3 linked regions of the Macaca mulatta genome follow. The protein of the gene in region 3 purifies or fractionates together with the protein of the main gene of each other region. This does not show direct contact. Links are inferred from orthologs where the notes say so. Each region holds a gene or a part of one and is shown on either strand. Other genes may lie near its edges. The genes, in order: LGALS1, ITGB1 and ITGA4.

Evidence for each region.
Region 1: the proteins of ITGA4 (region 3) and LGALS1 purify together in Homo sapiens (affinity purification with mass spectrometry; 3 studies listed by BioGRID and IntAct, with this or other methods). This does not show direct contact. The link is inferred for Macaca mulatta from reciprocal best matches to the Homo sapiens genes ITGA4 and LGALS1.
Region 2: the proteins of ITGA4 (region 3) and ITGB1 purify together in Homo sapiens (co-immunoprecipitation; 4 studies listed by BioGRID and IntAct, with this or other methods). This does not show direct contact. The link is inferred for Macaca mulatta from reciprocal best matches to the Homo sapiens genes ITGA4 and ITGB1.

Annotation. Positions count from the first base shown.
Region 1 is NC_133415.1:13,851,507-13,855,766, forward strand, and holds the start of LGALS1 (galectin-1), read right to left. Parts: upstream 2,996-4,260; 5' UTR 2,936-2,995; coding exon 2,927-2,935; intron 1,655-2,926; coding exon 1,575-1,654; intron 167-1,574; coding exon 1-166. UniProt on the Homo sapiens protein: Lectin that binds beta-galactoside and a wide array of complex carbohydrates. Plays a role in regulating apoptosis, cell proliferation and cell differentiation. Inhibits CD45 protein phosphatase activity and therefore the dephosphorylation of Lyn kinase.
Region 2 is NC_133414.1:34,342,018-34,346,266, forward strand, and holds the start of ITGB1 (integrin beta-1), read right to left. Parts: upstream 2,943-4,249; 5' UTR 2,821-2,942; intron 1-2,820.
Region 3 is NC_133417.1:86,371,502-86,375,777, reverse strand, and holds the start of ITGA4 (integrin alpha-4), read right to left. Parts: upstream 2,913-4,276; 5' UTR 641-2,912; coding exon 444-640; intron 101-443; coding exon 1-100. UniProt on the Homo sapiens protein: Integrins alpha-4/beta-1 (VLA-4) and alpha-4/beta-7 are receptors for fibronectin. They recognize one or more domains within the alternatively spliced CS-1 and CS-5 regions of fibronectin. They are also receptors for VCAM1.

The sequences.
Region 1 (4,260 bases), on a different chromosome or scaffold from region 3:
GACACTTCCAGGCTGGAAAGGAAAGGCAGCCTCCCGCTGCTCGGTCCCCCAGGCCCCACCGTCCTTGCTGTTGCACACGATGGTGTTGGCGTCGCCGTGGGCGTTGAAGCGAGGGTTGAAGTGCAGGCACAGGTTGTTGCTATCTTTGCCCAGGTTCAGCACGAAGCTGGGGGGTAATGGGTGGGTGTGAGGCCACCTCGGCCAGCTCCAGCCCCACCGACTGACTAATCTGTCACTCAGTACTCCACGAACACACTTTGCTTGAAGAACTCACTAACAGAGACAAGAAACCTGGATTCTAGCTCTGGCCCTGACAGCTGCTTACGGTGTGAACGTGAGCTAGTCCCTGCCCCTCCTTGCCTGTTTGCTCATCTGTACAATGGGGGCTGCACAGGAGGACTTGCTAGATTCTTGAAGTCACTAGCGTCCTAGCCCTTTTGGTCAAGGTCAGAGACTTCCTCCAGATGGCAACTTCACGTCCTGTCTTGTACATCTGTGTTCCTGGTGCCCAGCACAAGTGGGGCACACCAGAAGGAGATGCTTAGTAATTATGGGGTGAATTAACAAATAATAATACTCCTGGGCACGGTGGCTCACTCCTGTAACCCCAGCACTTTGGGAGGCCGAGGTGGGCAGATCATGAGGTCAGGGGTTCGAGACCAGCCTGGCCAACATGGTGAACCCCCATCTCTACTAAAAGTACAAAAAGTAGCTGGGCGTGGTGGTAGGCACCTGTAGTCCCAGCTACTCGGGAGGCTGAGGCAGGAGAATCGTTTGAACCCAGGAGATGGAGGTTGTGGTGAGCCGAGATCAAGCCATTGCACTCCAGCCTGGAGGACAGGGTGAGACTCCGTCTCAAAAAATAAAATAATAAATGCATTTGTTTAGTGGTGATAATAGCTATACCTGCCTCTGAGGGTTTGGTTGCAATGAAATTAGTGCATGAGAAGTGTACGGCTCTTAACAATATCAGCTCTTAACAATATCAGCCGATCCTCACCCTCCTCATCATCACTACACCATCGGCATCTCACTTCCTCCACACAACCACCTCCCCCCCCTTGTTTTTCTAACAAAATGAGGCTAGGTGAGGTTGGTTGACTGGTCCAAGGTCACATAGCTGCTGAGAAAATAAGGCAGCCGGCTGAGTGAACGAGGAGTGAAGGAAGAAGGACAGGACTGAGCCAGTGAATGAATGACCTGACGCAGGAGGGAGGGACTCAGAGGGAAGGCGGCGGTGACTCCCGCCTCACTCTTCTCCCCGCCCTCCCCAGATGCAGGCCCCGCCCAGACCGGAAAGGGGTGGGGGCGGGGGAACCAAGGTATTATAGATGACGAGGCTGCAGCTGTTGTAGTTTAAGAGGCTACAGCAGGGAGGGAGCGGGGGAGGGGGCGGCAATGGTGGGGGCGCCCAGACCCCGCGGGGGAAGTGAGTCACCCAGAAAGCGCAGCAACGTCGGCCGGCCGTTAACCCACTCTCGGCCAGGGAGGAGACGTGGACTTGGCCGGCCACGCCCTCTCGGCTGGACCAAGCCCCCATCCCTGCCGCCCACCACCCTGACTTCACCTCTCACCTCTTGGCGTCGGGGGCCACCTCGCCCCGCACTCGGAGGCACTCTCCAGGTTTGAGATTCAGGTTGCTGGCGACCAGACCCTGCACAGACAAGCCCCGGCCCAGCAGGTTAGAGGACAAGGCCTCCACTACCCGAAGTGTCCGGGGGTGGCTGGGGGTGGGAGTGGGGTTGTTCCCGCCCGGCATCCTCTGACCAAGCCAAGGGGAAGCCTGGGGACAGGATGGGGCTGTGATTTCTAGCCTCTGATTCTCTGTGTGGTCCTGGAAAAGTCCCTATTCCCAACAGGGTTGGCTTCAATCTGTAATGTGAATCAGGTTCTAGAAGACAGGCTCTAGAAGATTTTGCAGATTGGCCTGGGGATTTTGAACTCAAGAGTGGCTTGGGAGGTGGGGTGCTCTGTCCCATCGCAGATAGAGAGGATCAGGCTGGGGAGGGGCAGGCAGTTGGCCCACAGTCACACTGAATGCAGGGGTCGACCCCTCTGCTGGAGAGGAAGTGGCTAGGGGGACACTACTATTCTCCTTCAAGCTCCTCTCTGCGAAGAGGCCCAGGGGCTAGAGAGGAGACCCTGAAGAACACGGCCCCTCTGCATTAGGGAGTGGCCTGCAGTCGGGCTGTGGCCAGGCTGGTTCAGGGTTAACAAGATTGAGAAAACTGCTGCGCACTGCTGCTCCCTGGCACCCCGAGTGGGTGGGCAAGAGTTAACTGATTTGAGTGGTTTCTTCTGTCAGAAACTTGAACCCTTTCCCTGGGGCCCGAGGAAGATTCTCACCTCCCTGCCACCCCAACCTCCCAGCTTGGGGGTGGTGGAAGGGAATTTCCCCGGCTCCCCTCCCTCCCACCAGCCTGGACACAACCACCCTCCACCCCCGACCTAGAAAGGCCCATCCTGGGCAGCCTGTCTCGGGTCCTGGCGACTTTTCAGCGTATTCTGGAGCAGAGGGTGACTCTGCCCGGGCCTGGTGACTGGGACAGCTGCAGGGGGGAGGGGACGGGAGGCTTTTTGGGGTGGAGGAGGGGGAAAGATATAGTGGCCTGGGTGTCCCCCAGTTGGCCACACCCTTCCCACGCTCACTACTCAGAGAGCTGCAGAATGTCAACCCTGGGCAGAAATAACTGTGCTTTCAGACCCTGGAGGAATCCAAACAATTATCAATGCAGAGAAGGCCTTGAGGGACCATGGCGCCCACCCCAATTTTACAGATGTGGCTACTGAGGTCTAGAAAAGAGAAGGCAGTGGTTCCAGGCCACACAGCTGGGGCTAGAACCCTGCTCCCGATCTGCCCAGCTCTCCTCCGGCCATCAGCTCCTGCCCTATCCCCTGGACCTTGGGGTGGGGTCCCCACACTCACACAAGCCATGATTGAGGCCAGGAGGATGTTGCCAGGAGAGGCGCACCAGCTGTTAGAAGACTCCACCCGAGAGAGATGGGCCCCCGGACGCTCCCACCCTTTTAACGGGACCGGACCGGGTGAGCCCCGCCCCCTGGAAGTTCAGCCAATTGCAAGTCAGGACAGGGCTGGGGGCCACCGAGGGCGGAGTCCGTGGAATTTTGAAGCCAGTTCTGGAGCAGAGGTGACCAATCAGAGTGGCCATCTGCCGCCCCCCCACGAGGGTCCAAGCTCCACCTCCTATTCTTCATCCCTCTCCACCTCCCCCTGCCCCGCCACCACCGAAATTGTGCTGTGGCAGAGATTGGGGGAAGCCAATGGAAAATAGTTTGATGATGAGCTAGGCCCACGAGTTGGCGGGAAGGGGCCTGTGGCCAGCAGGCTGAGCTCAGGGGGTGCCCAGAGAAGATGGCTGAGGAGGTGCAGGGTCCTTCAAGGAATCAGAGCTGGGAGAGACCAGGCCACTCCAGGGCAGGGACCAGGGCGTGGCTCCTGCGTGCGCGTCTGCAGAGGGCCACCGACTTAAACCACAGGCCCTGGCGCCACCCGGGCCTTCCCCGGAAGCAAGGACTGCGGCTGCTGCAGCGCTTGCTCGCTCCTAGCTAAGGCTAAGGAAAGGCTGGGCTGCACGCCAAGCCTTAGGTTGCAGGGCTTGGCTAAGTCCTCGGGCTTGGCCCCCTTCAGGGGCATGCAGGGGATAGTCAAAGCGCCCTGGCCTGACAGCCTCTGGCCTGAGTGTCAAGCTGGGGAGATGGCCCAGGGTGGTCCAGGCCAGGAGGGGGTGGGGTCCTAGCTCTGTGCACCTGTCAGGCCTCTGAGCCCAAGCCAAACCATCGCATCCCCTGTGACTTGCACGTATGCCCAGATGGCCTGAAGTAACTGAAGAATCACAAAAGAAGTGCAAATGCCCTGCCTTGCAGTAACTGATGACATTCTACCACAAAAGAAGTGAAAATGGCCAGCCCTTGCCTTAAGCAATTATATTATCTTGTGAAGTTCCTTTTCCTGGCTCATCCTGGCTCAAAAAGCTCCCCCACTGAGCACCTTGTGACCCCCACTCCTGCCTGCCAGAGAACAACACCCCTTTTACTGTAATTTTCCTTTACCTACCCAAATCCTATAAAACGGTCCCGCCCTTATCTCCCTTCGCTGACTCTTTTCGGACTCAGCCCGCCTGCACCCAGGTGAAATAAACAGCCATGTTGCTCACACAAAGCCTGTTTGGTGGTCTCTTTACATGGATGTGCATGACAGCACCCTGTCCTCTCTCTTTTTTATTTTTATCTATTTATTTT
Region 2 (4,249 bases), on a different chromosome or scaffold from region 3:
GGCATAATCTCTAGGATTCCACCCACAACCTAACAGATCCTAACTCTCTCGTAGAGTGAGAAAATCTGCTAAAATCTGACAAAAGTCCAAATGAATCCTTTCAGATATATGTAGCTTGTTACATACTCAGAAAAGTTAAGTTCTCGGAACTTGAAAGCTCTCTGAAACTTTTACAAGATGTTTCAGCTTATCACACTAGCAGCATGGTTAAGGGCAAACCAGAGCAGCTACAGAATATTAATGAATATTTTTTTCGGACAGAACACTGTACTACTCCCTGCTGTAAGCCACAACTTACTTATCAAGAAGTCAAACAATAAAGACATTAAAATCAGTGGCAAGCACTCTTAGAAAAACTGGCACCATGTTGTTTGACCACTTTTCATTATTATAGTATGACCATTTGTCCCCAGTGTCACTCCCAGAGTTAGGAAGAACACCAATGTAGAACTACATTTTCATTCGTGATGGTAATTTGGGGCTGATTTAAATTAAATTATACTGACCAGAAAGCTAAGAAGAAAGCTGCCTAATTGTTAAAATTACTAAATGCAGTGACTTTCAGAATTGTTGATTCCATGCATTTCATGTACAGAATGTTGAAGGTATTCAAAAATAACTTTAATACAGAACTTTACATTGTTAGGAAAATCACATAAAATTGTAGGTCTAGGTCTGAAGTCAACATAGATGAGTTAAACAGTCTATTTGCTTCCTTTTTACAGAATTAAGCTATTAACCACATTCTTTGTCCTTTTAGCTAGTATTCTAATAACATCTTCCACCTTCATACTCAATTTTGGGATAAATAAAATGGCTTTCCCCCCAAATGCCTGTAATCAAAATACCAATGTTTTTTATTTAACACTTCACCATCTTCAGTCACTTATATAATATTGATCAATGAGCCAACATTATTTAAAAATATGAGAATTACAGTGAGACTCTAAGTCCTGACCCCTCTGGGCCTTGATGTCCACAAATGAACAGGTAACTGCCAACTAAAGTTCCTTAATCATTTCTAAAAGTGGCCTATTGTATACCCTATCGTAAAGGGCATATGTGGTTTAAGAAAGATGTCTAAATTCCTCTAGAACGTTATTTTTGTAGCATCAGAAGTACAATAAGAAAAATAATAATAACCTAAGGGCCAGGCTCAGGGGGCTCAAGTCTGTAATCCCAACACTTTGGGAGCTCTAGGAGAGAGGACTGCTTGAGCCTAGGAGTTTGAGGCCAGCCTGGGCAGCATAGTGAAATCCTGTCTCTACAAAAAATTAAAAAATTAGCCGGGCATGGTGGCAGGCGCCTGTCGTTCCAGCTACTCAGGTGGCTGAGGTGGAAAAATAACTTAAGCACGAGAGGCTGAGGCTGCAGTGAGCTGTGATAGCTCCTCTGCACTCCAGCCTGGGCGACAGAGACCCTGTCTCAAAACAAAACAAAATAACCTAGCAATTCTATCCACCTGTTATCCATGTGGCATGTTGGCCCAAAGAAACCTTACTAATGATGTTACCAATTACCTTCCGAGAAATCTTTTTACTATAAAAGAAGGGCTGAAAAGCAGTCAATATTCATTGAGCATCTACTCTCAAGCTAAGTGTTTTACATTTTGCATTTGATTTTCACGACTATAGTTAGGAAGGTTACTTTTGGTTTAAACGTAGGCTCTGGAGCTAGACCCCATGCCTTCTCCAGGAGCTCCCGATGACCATATGCAACTTACTTTTTGCTCCCGGTGCCTCCGTTTCTTCACTCGGAAAATGGAAATAGAAACAGTAGCAATCTCATTAGAGCAGTTCCAGAATTAAATAATACACATGAAATGCCTAGAGCTAAACCTGGCCCTCGCTGTCATTGTTATAAAAATGAATTATTAGTGTAGGTAGTATTGTTCCTATTTCACAGATGAGGAAACGGAAGCTTAGAGAATGCAACTTACTAATGATCATACCAATGAGTGCAAAGCTTTGGACTTAAAAGCACGAATTTGATTAAATGAAAGTTACTTAGAGAGTGGGAGTCTCATAAATCCAATTTATGAAGCCTAAGAAATGACACGCGGTAAAAATGATACTAGACACAGGACGGGCTCTCAGGCTCGCGGACCGGGTCTGAGCGCAAAGTGGCCGTGGCCCTGTGTCCTGGTCCCGGGGTGCCCGGCAGGGGCCGGCGACTCTTGACTTCCCGGCATTCGCGTTTATAAACACCGGGAAGTGAACTGCACTGCCGCCGCCGCGCCCCCGGTCCCCAGCGGCTCCGCGAGGCCACTTTCTATCCCGGCTCCAGTCGGAGAAGACCAATCCCAACAGCGGGCGCCGACGGCCGGCTCGACGCTGCTCCAAAAACAGCAGCCAGCGAGGGAGCGAGAGACAAAGGCGCAGGACCAGTCCAGGGGCGCGCTGAGTCCTAAACGCCGAGCCCCGGGTGGCCTCGCTGGCTCCCACCTGCGCTCGCCCAGCCTGGCGGGAGACCGCAGGTGTCAGGAGCCGCTCAGGCCCGGTCCTCCGCAGCTCCAGCAGCCCCGACGTGACAGCGCCCAGGCCCGCGACCCTAGCGCTCAGAACGCGGCTGGGCCGACTCGGCGCCCGGACGCTGCCAGCGCCTGGGACCCGAGGGGGGTGGCGGTGTGCGGACTTCCTCCCGGACTAGCCTGGAATCCCGCCCCAGCCCCCACCGGCCCGCGGCCGCCCCCGCCCCCGCCCCCACGCCTGGCACAAAGGTCCCGGCGCGGCCCGGGCCGGCGGCTGTTAAGTGCTGTCGCGCACAGCAGACCCGAGGCCGCGGCCTGCACCCCCACACCCGAGGCCCGCCGGCGCCTACCTTCTCCGCGCGGCGTCCGGGCCCCGGCGCGGTGGGCTCCGGCCTGCTGTTCCGCGACTCCCGCTCGGCCTCTCCTGCGGGCTGGCGGGACCTCCCGAGTCTCGGGCGCGGCGGGTGGCGGCGGCTCCTCCTCCTCAGGGGCGGGAGGAGGGGACTCGGCGGCCCAGAGCCGCCCCCCGGCAGGAAACCAGCCGCGGCCCCGCCTCCTCTGCGCGTCTGATCCCGCTCCCGAGGCCGCCACCGCCCTCTCCCTCCGGAAACGCATTCCTCTCCCGCCGCGTCAGCCCGGCCCCGGGGCGAGGAGGAGGCGCAGGAGGAGGCAGGAAGCGCGACCGGGACAAAGGAACCGGCCCGCTCGGGAGCGCGCCTGAGGGAGGCCGTGGAGGGCAGGGCCGGGACTCCGCTGAGACAGTCGCCATGCCTCAGTTTCCTCCTCTGTGAAGGGCGGGAGGGGTCGGTTGCGCCCTAAAGCCCCGCGCGTTCCTGGTGTAGCCTGCTGGGCCCGTGTTCTTTAAGTTCCGCTTCCTCGGATCCGCGTGTCCGACCCTCCCTCCCGTTTGTCCACTGATGTCCCGTTTAGAGCCCGGGAGGTCCTGATTCCCGGAAGCCCCCTCAGTCCCGAGGCAAATCGGTACCATGAACCCCCCATACCCTGCAGGACTCCATGGGGCCAAAAACCACGTGGTCATTCTGGAAGGGAACTGGCTAAGCCAGGACTGCTTTTCTGGAGTGATAATGTGCTAGCGTGTGTCTAAGAGAAAGATGAAGACTTGGGAAACCCGTGGGTGCCACGAAGGGTGGTGGGACTGGGGAACGTTTTAGAAAACCTGGTGAGTTGGGTCCTGCTTTTGATAGATTTATCTGGAGGTCCCTTTATGGGGAACAGGGATGAGAAGGAAAAGTTTCTTCCTACGGAGTAAAGTTTCTGTTTCAAACCTCTTTAAAAAAGAAGAAAAAAAAAAGGAGATGGGGGCTGGAAACAGAACGTTTGAAAGAGAAGGAAACATTCATTATGAGAATGGCTGGGCGCATGTCGATTCGATGATTGAAGTTCGTACCAACCAACATCATACTGAAACCCAGTAATTTCAGTATACGCTGCTGGCAAGCTGCTATCCTGGTAGCAGAAAATGTTGTAGGTTCCACTTGGTGAGCTGCAGCACCCTGTTGGGAAAAGAGCTCAAAAATTACCAGATTTATGAAACTGAGAAGAATCTTGCAGGAGATGAGGGGCTGGAACGCCCATTTGGCTGCTGCCAATCTAAAATATAAGAGAAAATGAGGCGATCACATCTAAGAAAATTTGCACATTACTTACCAGCAAAATCAAAACTATTGGTTAGCCAATGTCTGCAGACCTCTAGGAAATAAGCACTATTTTTCCCGCTTAATGGATGTTCAAGCTTAAGAGGCTAAATGATGTTCCTAT
Region 3 (4,276 bases):
CCGGCCGGGATTCTTCCCGATCCTGCATCTGTAAATCGCCCCGGGATTGATCACTGAAGCGTTGGCGAGCCAGTTGGCAGTGGGCGCACCCACCACGAGCCTAAAGAGACACGTGCACGTGCGCTCAGACGTGAGCTGTGCTGCCCACTGAGCTCCCTGTCGGAACAGATGTGCAGTCGGCAGCAGGGCAGCTTTCCCACCTCCTCTTCCGCCCACCACCCCCGACTCGAAGCTCCAAGGTCTTGCGCCAGAACGCACCCCGGGGTGCTGCCACCCCAAGATAAGTTAGTTTCCCTGGCAGATCTCCAGCGAGCTGGCACTCGCAGCGTTTCCCTCCTGCCTCCTTGGGAGGGAGAAAAGTTTGAACCGGGCAGGGAATCCCTTGGGCGCCGTTCTCACGCCGCTCTGAGCTGCTGAGGGCTCATTGGTCCAACTCTACTCACCATCGGTTCGCCCCGTGGCTGTGCAGCACGACCGAGTAGCCGAACAGCGTGTTGGGGGGGCCCTGGTAAAGCAGCGCGCTCTCAGTGTCCACGTTGTAGGGGCGGCCGGTCGGGACCCCCAGGCACAGCAACAACATCACCGTCTCCCGGAGGGCGGCCCTTCGGGGACCAGGTTCGCGCCTCGCTTCCCAAGCCATGCGCTGTCGGTGGGGAACATTCAACACTAAACGGCCACTACCCCAAAGTTGCACGGGATGCGACGGTTGGCCAACGGGGAAGAACGCCCCAAGAGATGAGGCGCAGCGTGTCCGGCGCCGGCGGGCTACAGGAAAGGAAGGAGGGAGGGAAGAGGAGGGGAAGTCGGCCCACCGCGGGCGGAGCGATTCGGCTGGCCTGGGATGCCGCGCACTCGCCCGGCCCCACTCCCGGTTTCTGCTGCTCGCCGGGAGCTTCGGGTTCTCGCGCTGATTCTCCGGGTACGGGCCGCTGGGTGGGGTCCCGGGCGTGGTGCGGTGGCGCAGGGCCGGGCCCCGTCTCCCCTTACGCGCGGCTGCAGGGGGCGCTGGGGAGCCTCGGCTGCGCAGGACGCGCGTCTCGGCCGGACCTCCCAGCCCGCAGAGCGCGGGATGGCTCTGGGCTCAGTAAGAGCGGACCTAGATGGAGCACGGGCTTCCCCTTTTAACAGTAGTTGGGGCCTAGAAGCGGAGCTGTGTGGCCCCAAACCGCGTGCCCCTCGCTGTGACCGCCCAGCCTCTAGCAGGCAGCCCGGCGTGGCCCAAATGCCAGCCACAAACTCGGGGACTGGGACTGCGGCGGGGAGCCGTCCAGTTCTTTGGTTGAGAGTCAAGCACTGTCTTGTTTTTCAGATGTAGGCAACCACTAGATAAATTATCAAGAGCCACAAATTAAAAACAAAACCCCAAAAAACTCGCCGAAGGCTCCTGGGGAACATTTTGGTGACAGAGACGTTATGGCTATTCTCTTCAAGACCCACACTGGGCACCCTTCTATGCCCACTTCCTTCCTCCCCACACTTCCTCTGCACCCCGGGCTGTGTGCCTGAGCAGGCGAGCAGCAGCCGCTCAGGTTGAATGGCAGGCGGTTATAGGCTGTGGCCGACCCCAACAGAGAGGTTGGGTTAAGGAAGCACTGTGACTTGATTCACTTTAACCGATTCTGATTGCTCCAGCTGGTTCTTGATTATCCCCTTTTCACGCACCCACTCAGTTGCCACGGGACACAGCTGCTATTAGGGGTGTAAACTCCAGTGTGGGGTCAGGGTCCTAATGAGCCTCTGAAATGTGCCGGAGACCCATGACGCAACACACCTGAACTGGGTAGTGAGTTTCATTCTAATGCAATCCAGGTGTGCCCTGGATTTTTTGTTTGTTTGTTTTTGTTTCGTTTTGTTTTGTTTTTTCCCTTCAGCAACCAGAGAGACAGTCATAGGTGATTATTAGACTGATATTTTCAGGAGATGAAGGTCTAGTTTTTTTTATTGTTGCTATATGTAAAAAGAAAACACAGGAAAAGTCTGCATCAAAGAGTGTGTCTGTGTGCTAAAACCCTGCTGGAATAACACATCTGACACTAACGACAGATACATAATTAAAATGCTTATTCATTTATTCAGCACATTAATGGAGCAGGCACTTGGCTAGGACCACAGGATTCCACCAAGAGTAAGGCAGGACTGATACAAACTTTCAAAAAATGTTTGCTCCAATGGTAGATAGAAAATTTGTACTAACTAGAGAAAGTTCCAGGTGAGGACACGTAAAGAGAGATGTGAAGGACCAGGAATTTTGAATCAGGCTAAGAACGGAATGAGCAATAAGGAGGGCTCCAGCGGGGCCAGGTAGAAGAACTGAAAGAGCTTCCCTGGCTAGTGTATTTAGCCACCCCACACACAGATTGGTGTGATATGAGCCTGACTTAGAGAAGCAGGAATACATGGTGAACCTCGTAAGCCAGGTTAGGAATTTTAAATCTATGTTGGGGCTGACAGGAAGTTGAGGAATTTGTCTGGGTCAGCTCTGGGTTTCAGAAGTGTGAACGCAAGACTGAACACAGAAAACCTAATTTTGGAAGCCCCTGCAACAATAAATAGAGGATAAGCCCAAGGAGAAGTATTTCTCTTTCTTGAAAGACTCTCCTCTCAGGGCACCACTTTATTGAACTTTTTTCTCCTCCCTTCCTATCTGGGCACTCTGAGTCTCCTCTGCTGGCTTCTTCCACCGTAATTGTTGAAAATCCGCAGGGCAGTTTTGGATTTGGGAACTGGGTGTGTGGTGATACCATTCACAGAGAAAAAAACACTGAGAAATGAAGTAATATGCATGTATGCAAGCATGTAGATGGGGGCATTGATGGGTTAAGTTTTAGCCATGTGGAGTTTGAGATATTTTTGGAATGACAGGATATTCTAGCCAAACCCAATGCAATTATTTTCACTCTGTCAACAGACAAAATATGAGGAATATTAACTTTCTCTTTACAGTAAAAAGTCAATATGGTGTGTGATAAATCTATTGTAAAAATGAAATGGCTTCCAGAAATGAAGGGCCTGTGGAGAATGGTTCTGATGTTTCTCTCTGCAGTAGTGCTGAGTGTGTTTCTTAGTAGATCTACATGCTGATTTTAACCCAGTTCCACAATTAGCTTACATTGTCGTTATTCTGAACTACGCAATCCTTCTTGTTTGCAGCTACAAAACCTCCAGTTGAGGCCAAGGACGTAGGTATATTGAAGCCATTCTGACACCCTCCAGAAACTGGCAAAGCCAGATCTTCTGATCTGAACCCCTTCTTTCCCTCCCTTCACCAAAGTCTTTTACAATGAAAGCCACTCAACACAATTTGTTTCATAGCGTAGTTTTGGTGACTAGCAGTCAATGGAGTGGTTGATAAGGCAGGACTTTTTTCCACAGTTATGGTTATAGCTATGATTCACTACCTTTCGAGAAATAGCCACCCTACATTATCTCACATGTTAGCTGAATTTCCTTCCTCCAAGGCTTAGAAAACAGCTCGCTTTTCCTAATGTTAGCAGGAATAAAGTGTGTTTCATGATGCTTTAAAATAAACTGAAGATACTGCTATCTCTCTAATCAGAAGGATGTTGAAGAAAGACTCATGCCTATCCCTAGCTCTCAACCCGACATAAATATTTGGGCACTCAATTACTAAATGTCATTGAATGAATACTTATCAAGTGCCCACTATGTGCCAGAAAATGCATTATGGACTAAAATTATAGTAGATAAAATACAAGTGATCTCTAACCTTGTGTAGAAAGTCCTCCCCAGTAGCGAGGATTCTAATGTGGACTCACCCTATTTTTCAGTTGTTATCAAGAGTAAGCATTTCTCCTTCCAGAAAGACTCTCTTCTCATGATACCACCTTATTAAGCTTTTTCCTCCCTTTCTATCTGGCCACTCTGAGTTTCCTCTGATGTCTCCTTTCCCTCCACCATAAGTGCTGGAAATCCCCAGGGCTATATTCTGGACCCTCTTTCATTCTCTTTCCATCTTCCCTCTTTAGGAGATCTAACCCATTTCCTATGTCTTTAAAAACAATCTAAATATTATAAGTCATTAACAGAAATGGTATACTTATTTCAATAGATGCTGAAACAGCATTTGATAAAATTCAACATTCCTTTATGATAAAAATTCTCACCAAAATGGATATAGAAGGAACATATTTCAAAATAATAAAGGCCATATATAACAAACCTACAGTCAACATCATACTGAACACAGAAAAAATGAAGGCCTTTCCTCCAAGGACTGAAACAGACAAGGATAACCCCTCTCACCACTGTTATTCTA